Linked DNA regions of Tribolium castaneum. The protein of the gene in region 3 purifies or fractionates together with the protein of the main gene of each other region. This does not show direct contact. Links are inferred from orthologs where the notes say so. Each region holds a gene or a part of one and is shown on either strand. Other genes may lie near its edges. The genes, in order: PPP4R2r, Pp4-19C and protein phosphatase methylesterase 1.

The links.
Region 1: the proteins of protein phosphatase methylesterase 1 (region 3) and PPP4R2r purify together in Homo sapiens (affinity purification with mass spectrometry; 3 studies listed by BioGRID and IntAct, counting the BioPlex papers as one, with this or other methods). This does not show direct contact. The link is inferred for Tribolium castaneum from reciprocal best matches to the Homo sapiens genes PPME1 and PPP4R2.
Region 2: the proteins of protein phosphatase methylesterase 1 (region 3) and Pp4-19C purify together in Homo sapiens (affinity purification with mass spectrometry; 3 studies listed by BioGRID and IntAct, with this or other methods). This does not show direct contact. The link is inferred for Tribolium castaneum from reciprocal best matches to the Homo sapiens genes PPME1 and PPP4C.

The regions. Positions count from the first base shown.
Region 1 is NC_087402.1:9,726,829-9,730,581, forward strand, and holds the start of PPP4R2r (serine/threonine-protein phosphatase 4 regulatory subunit 2), read left to right. Parts: upstream 1-1,133; 5' UTR 1,134-1,276; coding exon 1,277-2,155; intron 2,156-3,753. Other genes in the region: uncharacterized protein LOC107397720, read right to left, coding at 481-756. UniProt on the Homo sapiens protein: Regulatory subunit of serine/threonine-protein phosphatase 4 (PP4). May regulate the activity of PPP4C at centrosomal microtubule organizing centers.
Region 2 is NC_087401.1:11,679,570-11,683,322, forward strand, and holds Pp4-19C (serine/threonine-protein phosphatase 4 catalytic subunit), read right to left. Parts: upstream 2,359-3,753; 5' UTR 2,205-2,358; exon of another isoform or gene 2,180-2,204; intron 2,054-2,179; 5' UTR 2,049-2,053; coding exon 1,899-2,048; intron 1,845-1,898; coding exon 1,692-1,844; intron 1,640-1,691; coding exon 1,339-1,639; intron 1,224-1,338; coding exon 1,034-1,223; intron 569-1,033; coding exon 439-568; 3' UTR 184-438; downstream 1-183. Other genes in the region: Flo2 (flotillin-2), read left to right, coding at 2,584-2,632. UniProt on the Homo sapiens protein: Protein phosphatase that is involved in many processes such as microtubule organization at centrosomes, maturation of spliceosomal snRNPs, apoptosis, DNA repair, tumor necrosis factor (TNF)-alpha signaling, activation of c-Jun N-terminal kinase MAPK8, regulation of histone acetylation, DNA damage checkpoint signaling, NF-kappa-B activation and cell migration.
Region 3 is NC_087403.1:7,977,436-7,981,182, forward strand, and holds the start of protein phosphatase methylesterase 1, read right to left. Parts: upstream 2,936-3,747; 5' UTR 2,765-2,935; coding exon 2,715-2,764; intron 2,664-2,714; coding exon 2,486-2,663; intron 2,440-2,485; coding exon 2,330-2,439; intron 2,283-2,329; coding exon 2,046-2,282; intron 1,997-2,045; coding exon 1,931-1,996; intron 236-1,930; coding exon 1-235. UniProt on the Homo sapiens protein: Demethylates proteins that have been reversibly carboxymethylated. Demethylates PPP2CB (in vitro) and PPP2CA. Binding to PPP2CA displaces the manganese ion and inactivates the enzyme.

The DNA.
Region 1 (3,753 bases), on a different chromosome or scaffold from region 3:
AAAAGTTTTTGTCGGACCGACAATAATTTCTGTTTTGTGCTGTGTGCTGGTAAACAATTTTGTTGTTGCTAGTTTCTTTTTAGTTCCACATAGAAAATATTTATCTATTTTCTTTACTGTAACTATTATATAATTAAATAAACACATACAAGCAGAGTAAAATGAAACAATACGTTGATTCGTTTTTATATCTGGGCCAGTGTGTTACTTTTTGCAAAAGTCGCCCGCTTGCATCTGTAAGAGTTCTAAATTCTAATTAACACAAATCTTTTAAAGCGATTACGCTCGGGTATAGGGCTGCCTTACAAAAGAAAATAATCCTCATACGTGCGCAAAATGATACAAATACATAACAAATAATATATTTACAAACAATTCGGTATTATAAAAGATAAACAGAGTATATCATATTCATAAGCCACGTTAAAGCTATGTACAAAATAAAACTTACAAGGTATTTTTCTCTTACAATTATGAATTTTAAGCGTTTATTTTAAGTTCGTTTCTCAGGATTTTGCCGCTGGGGTTCCTTGGGATCGACTCGACGAATTTAACACCGCCGGCGATTTTTTTGTAATGGGCCACTTTGGGGTTTATGTAAAGTAGGATGTCGTCTTCACTCAGGCTGCTCCCGGGTTGGCGCACGACGAAAGCTCGGGGCACTTCACCGGCCAAAGCGTCCGGAATACCCACAACAGCACAATCGGCCACTCCGGGCATCTCCAGGAGCAGATTTTCAAGCTCGGTGGGCGACACCTGTTTACAAAAAAATAACGATTATTTCTTACGTAAATATTTAACAACGCGTAATAAAAAGAGTATAAAGTATGACTTCGTAACGTTAAATTCCAGGTGCCACGTAATAAAATAATTAAGGTGTGTTTTAAATTCAAATTAAAAAAAATTTTTGAATTAAAAACCACAGGGTATGCAACCAGTTATACAAAAAATCCGAGTGTTCGCAGAGAAAATATTTTTAGCGAAATCTCGGTGTCGCTCACCCGGTTTTTGCACACGTGTTAGACTTTGCGCTGTTGCTGATTATAATTTTTAATGACTGTACTTTAAAATCAAATAAAATTGTCTCGCGTTTAAATTGATAAATGACCACGTCCTTAAAATAGGCGCGCGGTTGCGCAGTTCGTCGATCACGTCCTACTTTGAGTGGAATGATATTGAACCGGCGCTAACTTCGTTATTGTCATTGGTGCGCTTGTTGACGCAAGTAGATGGTGATCGGTGGTGCTAAAATTTCGCGAAAAAAACAATAACAATAATGGAAAATCCCGAAGAAATACTCCACAGTTTAGAGGAATTCTCGAAAACCAAGCCCAAGGACATACCGCGCGAACTGGAGGAGTACCTTTGTTTTGTGGCGAAAACAGGGGACCCTGTGTACCAGTGGTCGGCAATAAAGAGCCTCTTTCGCGAGAAGATGATTAACGTTATAACGGAGTTCTACGAGACGTGCCCTTCGGTCGAGATACCCCCTTGTCCCAACGTGGACATTTTCAATTACGACCTTATGAAGAATTTTATTTTAGAGAAGTTGGACACGTTTGCGGCGGCCCCCTTCACGTTACAGAGGATTTGCGAGCTGTTGACGACTCCGAGGAAGGAGTACAATCGGATAGACAAGTACATGAGGGCCCTGGAGAAGAATATCCTAGTTGTGAGCACCACTGAACCTGGGGGCAGGAGGAACACGGAGAACGGGGAGGGCATTATGAACGGGTTGGAGTCGGAACATTTGCCGGAAACTAGCAATAGCAGCAATGACATCAACGTGGAAGAAATGGACGATGCGCCAGCTTGGCCTAGATTGCTACAGAACGAAAATGTTCCATATCAAAATGAGAATAGCAACAGTAATGACATTCAAACCCAGCCAATTGTACAAGAAACGGTGGTCACCGCGTCTAAGCTACCAGATGTGGCCTGCAGCTCGTCTCAAGACACTGTCATAACGTGTCGAAGCTCAGAGGAGCCCTACGTTTCGATTGAACCTGTGCCATCAAATACTTGCACCAGATCAGACCCAGATGAGACGGATGTCTCGGTTACCATCACTGCCATACCTGCAGGGGTCCAAAAGAGACGAAACAGTGTCGAACCGGTCGTTTCGTCAGAAACCGAAGAAATCACCGAGTCTTGTGTAAGTACCAAGTTTTGATCAAAGTGTCCATGTGTTTGAAGTTGGCAACATTAATTGCTAAATGGTCACGTCACACTCAGGACAGTGTTGCCAGGCCTCGCAAAATTTCACCAAGTTTTGTGATTTCGTAATTTCAAAATTTCTTCGAAAATTACTAAATTAAAAAACTGTTATCAAACCATTAAAATCACAAAATCCCTCGATGTAGTTAGTTTAGGAGCGAAATTTCGTAAAAAAAGTCAAAAAACCGTAAATAGATTTTAAAATTGTTATTTTTAGCTTTTCAAGCACGTTTTTGAATAAAATGCAATGTGTTTTTCAAGATTTTACAAAATTTTGTTCGTTCTATTCGCCTCTTTTATTTTGAAAAATCTTGTTAAAACGCGCCAAAAAAATACAAAAATAAATGAAAATTGATGGTTTCACTTAATTTGCTCATTTTTGAACAAAATTTCGTAGTAAAATACCCTAAAAGACGCAAAATTTGTGTGGAAATGGTGTTATTTTTTTTAATTTTTTAAGTATTAACTAAGCTATATTAACAAAATTTTCTTGAGAAGACCGAAAGTTAAGAAATAAGAAAAAGAAAGTCGGAAATATCATTATTTCTTCCTTTTTTGTGCGTGTGGACATATTTTACAGTCCGAAATGTAAATATTTCGTAAAATTTTGTTGTAAAGAAGCTTAAAATTTGCCAGCTTTTTTTAAAAATGGTGATTCTATGCATTTTCTATGCATTTAAACGTATTTTTAACGCGAAATATTTTTTCCCTTTTGAAAGAATATCTAAAAAATACGCAGCTTAGATTGTCTCGCTTGGTTTAGTTTTATTTATTTTGCAAAATCTTGCTAAAACGCCTCAAGAAGAAACCGAAATTTCTTAGGAAAAAACATGTAAAAGCGCATTTTTGGAGTTATTTTTCACCATTTTCAAGTTTTTTTTTCTTGTGAGAATGAGCATGTTTTAGAGCCTGAAATGCAAATTTAATAAAATTCTGGTCAAAACAAGTCCAAAATCCACCAAATTACGCTAAAAATTGTGCTGTTTTACATTTTTTGAGGATTTAGACGTATTTTAAAAACGAAAATAATTTTGCAAAAATTATATTAAAATTAGTATCAATTGGCAAATTATGTTGTAGTGTAGTAGTAGATTAGTAGATGTTTTTTAGCTTATTTGATTAGATTTTATTCGTCTTTAAACCTGTCTCCTTTATTTTGCAACATCTAAAACGCTTCAAAGAAACTGATGGTATTTAACTGTTGCACTTGAAAAAACTCAAAATGTGTTAGAAAGTGTTGTTATTTTTTTATTCCCTTTCGAGATTACAGCAAAATTACAAAATTAGATTGAAAATAACATTATTAGTTTTTGTGCAAAATTTCTTAGAAAAAAATCTGAAAAGGTACATTTTTTTGGAAATGGTGTTATTTTTTAACTTTTTCATGTATTTTTTTTCTTTAGACAAGACCAAAAAATTAAGCTGGAAATATTCTTTCTGTATTTTTTGTGTGTATGAGCATGTTTTAGAGTCAGAAATGCAAATATTTTATAAAATTTTGTTCAGAACAAACCCAGGATTATGCTATGGTGCTAT
Region 2 (3,753 bases), on a different chromosome or scaffold from region 3:
ATTTCGATTTTGAAACATAAAACTTAAGAAACCTTCAATTCAAAGCTTAATTATACGTTTTAAGGCTTTTTTGCTTAGCTATCACACACGCGATGGGTACGGTTTTGAATTAGCCGTCCCAAAATGGCTGCCAGTGCCGCCATTATTTTTTTAATTTGCAATATCTTTGAAATAAAACTCAAATTTTACAAAAAAATGTATTTTGGCAGTCTGCAAATGGTACAATACATGGTTTTAAATAAATAAATTCACTATAAGTACAGTTTTAGAATTTCGAAGTCAATAGAGGGATAAATCGACAACTGGAACAAAAACTGTCTTAAACATAATTGAAGACCATGAAAAAATACGTAACTACAACTGATGAATTAATTATGAATTAACAGATGACCAAGAGTATAATATGTATATTACAATTATAAAAGAACAACTAAACTATTACAGAAAATAATCAGCTTGTGGTTTTTTCGATGGCACGCCTCGAGTTTCCTGAGGCGCCGCTTCAAAAATCGTAAAATCACGTTGCAGATGCTCGTTCAGTTCCAAAATTGCGGCAACGTTGCCACACCTGCAAACACAAAAAATAACCGAAATTTACCAAATGCCCAGTTTGGAAAAAAAAACTAGACGCCCTTTGTTGACGACATTTCGTCGAAAACAGTAACGAATTTAATGTATCGTTTAGTAAGTTTGTTTATCATGTGGTTTAATTTTTAAATAAGTAGGCTTGGTGGTGATGTGAAGCTTCTAGATCCAAATTCAAATAAACCTCCAAAATCTAGTAGGTTTAAAAACAAAATTGTTGGCGTTTTTTCCAAAGCATCCTTCGCAAAAATATTTTTTCTCCATTTTAACCAGCATTCGATCATATCATGTGATACATCGTTGCAATCAGAAATAAAAACACTTTTCGAAAATACAGACATAAGAAAAACGAAAGCCTCCAAATTCGTACAATCATAATAAACATTTCCCGACATTTGAAGTTACTGTTTTCAACCTAGCTCAGTGGCGCTCCCAGTGGTAATTTTACCTGTAGCAATAATTTGGAGCTGACCACACTGTCAGCACAGTCTCGTTAAAGTGCCACTTGTAGCCCTCCATGACCAGCTGATGCGCTCGACAGATCATGTCAATGTCGTTGGCGGCGTTAAACTGGGCCACGACGTCGGAACCGAACAGATAGCCCGCCCCTCGGGGCGACACGCCCCAACCTTGGGTATCTACAACATTGATTTTTCATGACTAACTCTGGACACAAATATAATTTTTCGGGGCCAACTTGGCCACCAATTTTTTTTTTCAATTTGGGAGCGACTCAAGGGGGCTATTAATTACCTTCAGGGTCGCTCCATAACAGGTCGCACATTGGTCCGTCGTGTGGTACTTCCTGTTTCCGGTCGATGACTCTGATTTGATCTAGGGTTTGGATGGAGGGCGACAGCCCCCCGTGAACACAGAAAATTTTGCCATCAATGATAGCCGAAAGTGAGAGGTAATCGAAAATTTCGGTGCAATACCGCCATACGGTTATGGAGCCGTATTTGCGTAAACACTCGTCGTAAAATCCGTAAACTTGGGTTATTTGACGCGACTCGTGATTGCCTCGTATTAAGGTGATGCGGTCGGGGTACCTAACCTAAAAAAATGATCGTAAATTTTTACTTGTTGCGTCACGTTTTCGGTACTACTTTTAAGGCTAGTAGCAGGAGGAACGTCTCAACACTGTAAAACCCACGATCGACAAAGTCCCCCATGAACAGGTAGTTCGTTTCGGGGACGTCGCCCCCCACTTTGAAGAGCTCCTTCAGGTCGTAAAACTGGCCGTGTATGTCGCCACAAACCTGAAGCAAGTCACAATGAACCAAACCGTGACCCCTTCCGGGGGCTGCGCTTACCGTAACCGGGGAATCAACCCTCTGAACATTGCTCTCTTCAACAAGAATTTCCCTAGCTTTCGCACACAGCGCCTTAACCTCGCATTCCTTGATCGTTTCGCACCTTTTCAACTGTTCGATTTGCCGGTCTAAATCGCTGGTATCGCCCATTGTGCCTGAAACACGGGCCCCCAAGCTCAAACGTCAAACGAAAACAAAAAGTAACAAGTTGAGGTTAGGTCACCCAAACTTAACCAAAAACCCCCAAAACTGAACCCAAACGATTGCGAAACGCTAATTACCCACAATTCTGGCGAAATTCCGTACCTTTTTCCAATAAAAGTTCGAAAAAGCCCCCACCAAAGCCACTAATCACAGCACCCCGATGCCCTAATCTCAGACATACGTCCGATTGGCTGACTCACAAATGTCAATTGAGCGGCGGCGTCGTGTCGCCACCGACGCTACTCTGCGCACGTTCTCAACCCTTATTTCGGCAGGAAAGCGACGGTGGACGGTTAAATTGGGGAGAAATTGCGTTTAGGGTTGTTTAAATAAAGTTGGTGCGCCTGCGTTAGGCAGTAGGTCGTAGTATGATTACGGCTTAAAAAATTAAAGCGGAGTTTTTTCATGTTTAACCTGAAATTTTAAGGGGGTTTTGTGGAGGGTTTGTGACTGTGTGTGTGGTGCCGAGGTGTTGGGAGACATGGGAAATATCCATACGGTGGGACCGAATGAAGCCCTCATTGTTTCAGGTAATTTTATTGGGGTAGCTTGGACAAGGGTGGCTGGGGCTGTACTACAGCGTTTGCGGGGTTTGGGGTACCTGCATGCAAAATCTGGGGTCTTTTGGGGTATTTTCAAGGTGAATCGTTAGTTGTTGATAAGAATAAATAGAATTCCCGACCATAAAAATAACTTTTTAATTGTAGTATTATTGATAGTGAGATACAAAAACTACGTTTCAATAATTAACGTCTCATCTTTACCGGTTTAGAGATTTATTAATAACTTGTTTTTTTAATATGACAAAAATGTGTTATTTTATTAATTAAGTATTATCAAAAGAAGATTTTTTCTTAGTCATAAATTGTTTTCAACAATTCCCGCTAATCATGTGTTTCATTTATTGCCTAACTGCAATAAAATTTAAGTGCTCTACTATTTGACCTTTGACATTTGTATTGTGTTTGGTTGGTGTGCCTGTTTGTTGTTGTTTTACAATGGGCGTACCTATCTGGAACAACCTTGCATATGTTTATTTACTGTTTACTGCAGTGGTATAACATGATCGTGATTGTAACTACTAGAATTAAAAAATAAAAGACAGTCTTCTGGTTACAATTTTTTTGAAAATTAATGGCCAAAAAGTCAGTCATTCCAGTCTTTTTTCCGTGGTGTAAGTCGGACATAATCGGCTAGTGTAAATCGCTCTTTAAGCAGTGGTGCTTACAGTATTACCAACTCAAAAAATAAAAATCACCAGATCCGCGCGGAATTTTATCAAATTTTCAATAAACTGGAGCCTCTAATGGCTTGAAAAATGTTAAAATAATGTAATATTCAATCTGTTTTAGCGAAATTTTACAAAAAAACTGAAAATTTAACTTTTGAAATCTCAAAATCACGTAACAATATCAATTCCATTTTTTGGCGTCTGTGATACTGCAAAATAAATGAGTTTTTAGTTAAGAAACTAAGTGAAAACTAGCTGAATTTAGCCGGTTTTCGAAAAAGTTCTTAATTTTTATCTCAAAAAAACACCATTTTTCGTCTTATTTGGTGAATTTTTGGTTTGTAGCGAAATTTTGCAGAATAATTATACCTCAGTACAGATTACCTCCGGCTGATGTAATTACACCTCTGGCTGTAAAAC
Region 3 (3,747 bases):
AGTTTTACTTAAATCAATCCTCCAGGTGTACTTAGGGCCGTCCTCGCCGCTCCCAGGCTCGGTCTTTGCCGATTTAGGCAGCGGCGGCTTCCCGCAATCGGAACAATTGCTCTCGTCATCCTCCTCAATCGTGGGAGTCGCCGGCGTCTGCTTTCTCACAGGCGCCGACAACTCCTCCGCCGGCTTCAACTCAATTGTATCACATTCGTTAGCTGCTAAATTACCACTTTGAATACTGAAAACATCAAATTAAATGCACGTGTTAGTATACTGCGAAAAACTGCGACACTCGCTTACGGCTCGTGTCGTAACGAGTGCGAGTGCCTTAGCCATTAAGGGTGTCGATGCCGTTTTCGGATATAGGGAAAAAAACAATGTTAAAGTTTCCGACTCATACAATGTAACTCAATGCGGTTTTCACCACACGATAAAGCATTATCTCGTGTTGACAAGATGTTGAAAAGAATTATAAATTAATTTTTTATTCCACTTTTGGATTTGAATATGTAAAAAATATAATTAATAAATAAACGGTAAGGAACTTTTCGAAATTGTGGAACGCTGGGCGTAAGGTTATCATTCACAAGTATAAACTAAAATATTAACGTAGATAACAACGAAACAATTCGCCGGAAATTTCATACTGAAAAAATTGTGATAATACCGCTGTGTATCTACTTAGTGGATTACAGACACTGACCAACACAGTGATTTTGCATTGTTAGAACAGGAAAGAGCAAAATGAATCATATATTCCCAATTTATCAACTACCAAATGCCGAAGGCAAGTTATTTCAACTTCTCGGGTGTGATTTTATAGTGGTTTTGTAACGTAGTATAGTGACTCCTCTACACTATACTCATAGTATACACAACTTAAACAAACCTGGGCCTAGCCAGAATGAAGAGAATGCACTAAAATCTTTCCAAATCAAATTTAATAAACAAAGTCTTCTGGTCGACCTATCCGTCTCTGAGAAATACCCATTTTTAGCGGCAAGTCCGGATGGCCTTTTGGGATGTGATGGAATTATAGAAATCAAATGTCCTTTTAATGCTAGAAACTTATCTCCTCAAAAAGCTATCCGAACAAATATAAAATTTGCAAAATTAGTTGATGAAAAAGAAGATGACTATTTAGCGGCCCAAAATAATCGTTCGTTTGTGTGGTGTGGACTTCAAAAGATATGATATACCAAAAAAAAAATTACAAAAATTTAGAATTTTGGGAGAGAAATATGTTACCTAAACTCTAATTTTTATTAATTTATTATGAACTTTTGATACCGGCACTTATCAACAGAGATATAATAGATATAATATAAATAGCAACCTACTAGGTTTTTTTGGACGTCAAATCTAAACCATATCAAATAACTGAAAGAACGATACATATAACCAGATAACTATTGCTATGCACTAAGAAGACATTCAATAAGTTGCAACGTGAAATAACAAAGAATATATAAATATGACGATTGGTCGTTATAAACGATCCGTCGTTTATAAGCGATGACGTTACTGTTTTCACTGTACTGTTTTCAGAACTCAATTTCTGTAAATCTTGTATTTCACATCCCAGACAAAGCATTATGATCAGAATGGTAATTTTATGGCCTTGTCAATCATTTTTAAGCTGCTATACCATTTTATTTTTCTAACACGTTAATAATTCTTTCATACACGAGTTTGGAATGTCTCATTATCTTTAGGAAAGCCCAAAATGCGAGCTGCATACCCCGTTTTTTCTACGACCCGACAAAAAAAATTGCAATTCAATTCCAAATTGTCGGCTCGTGGCAATGTGATCATGTTGCATTCCTATGATGCTAAATTACCACTGTGGATGTAAATCAAATATATAGTGTCGAAAATTACGACACTCGACTCCGGCTCGACCGCTCATGATGGGAGAATTGCAATTACTTACCTAATTATTTGGCCCGGCATTGAGACCTTGGCTGCCTCAATGTTGTGAGTTTGGCCCCCTTTGTAGCTGAAAATTAGGCTAAACTTTGTGGAATTTTTTGTGTTAATTTGATTACCACCACTGGATTGCGTGCTGAACACTTTTGAAGGTTGTGGGGCGCCCCCTTAGGATGCTTTGCATGGAGGATAGGGCATCAAGGGCGGTCCCCTCAACCACGTCAATTACACAAAGCCCCAACGTTTTAACCATGTGTGCGCACTGAACAGCAACAGCGCCCCCCATGCTATGACCAACAAATACCACAGGAGGTTCCTCCTCCGAAAATATTGTGCTAAGTACCATAACAACATCTCTAAAAAATTTTTTCTAATTTTGTCGTTTTAAATAAGAAAAACCTACTGAGACAGGGTTTCTAACGATAAGTCACTATCGTCGCCGGACCGGGTGTTCCCGTGCCCCCTTAGATCAATCGCTATGACCTGGCACTCAATATTCGTGGTAATTTCAACCTGAAAATCATTATTAATGTTTGCCCACAACTTTGAGGCCAGTTACAGCAAATAGCGCCCATGTGAGCCCCGAGTAGCCGCCCCCATGGAGGCAGACCACCGCCGGGCCCGAGTCACCCTTTTTATAAACATGGAAAGTTCCACTATCAGTCGTAACATCATCTTCACTGTCAAAATACTGATCCCACTTAAGGGGGGCGAAGTCTTGTTGGTTGGGGGCTAAACTGTACGGAAATAACCACAATACACACAAATTTGCACAAATAACTACATACCCAATGCGTTTCGCATTACGTCCTAAAACTGCTTTTCGTAAATTACTCATTGTAACAATTTGATCGAATAGCTTTTTCTAAACGTGCCACTTTTACTTTTCCAAATTGTTTAATTTAAATCTGGGACGGAAGAGCAAATTTTATGAGAAGTTCGTCCACCGATCGTAAACATAAAACACTACCAACGTCACGGACAAAAAATTCCTGTTACGTAACACGGCGCGCTATTCAAATATTGACAATTATACAGAGTGTTCCAGCAAGGAGGTAGATGTTAAAGAAAGAAATATTTTTTTTCCAAAGCCGTAGACGCTAAACGCCTGTCACTCCTAAATTTATTTTCAAATATACAAGGTGTTTTCGAAATTAGATACAATAAACAATACAATTTTATGTTTTTTTAATGAAACAATTTATACAGGCCGTCCGTATATGAAATACGAGGTCGGTTAAATTAGAGCAAAGTTGCGCATTTTTCTGCTAAACTATTATCTGGAAAATATTTGATGTGTCACTTTTAGTTTTTGAATTATTAAGAAAAATCAAAAAGTCGTAATTTTTGTTTTTATTTTTTTAAGCAAAAACCAAAAGAACTAGACGTTTTTAAGTAGGACGTTCTTCAGGCACATTTTTATATAAAATCTAAATCTGTCATCATCTTTTTCAAGGCGTTGTTGATGTCAGAGTTATAACACTGATCTTATTGACTCTTGTATTTTTGAAAAGTCTTTGTAGATTACAGTGATTACATGATATGAGCAAAACTTACATACTGATTAAAATTAAGAAAAAAGCGCTTTTGCAAAGAGTGCTTTGGAAAAAACATTAAAAATTTCGTTTAACAAACGAGATTTTGACAGGTTTATTGAATATGCGACCAGAATTTTTATAACTTTGTCTTGTTTTGTTTGCGAAGAATAAACTTTTAGCTTTTCATATCATTTAGTATAAATAAGCAAGCTTGGTGGAAAAGTAAAACTTCCAGATCCAAATTCAATTAAACCTCCAAAATCTAGTTTGTTTAGAAACAAAG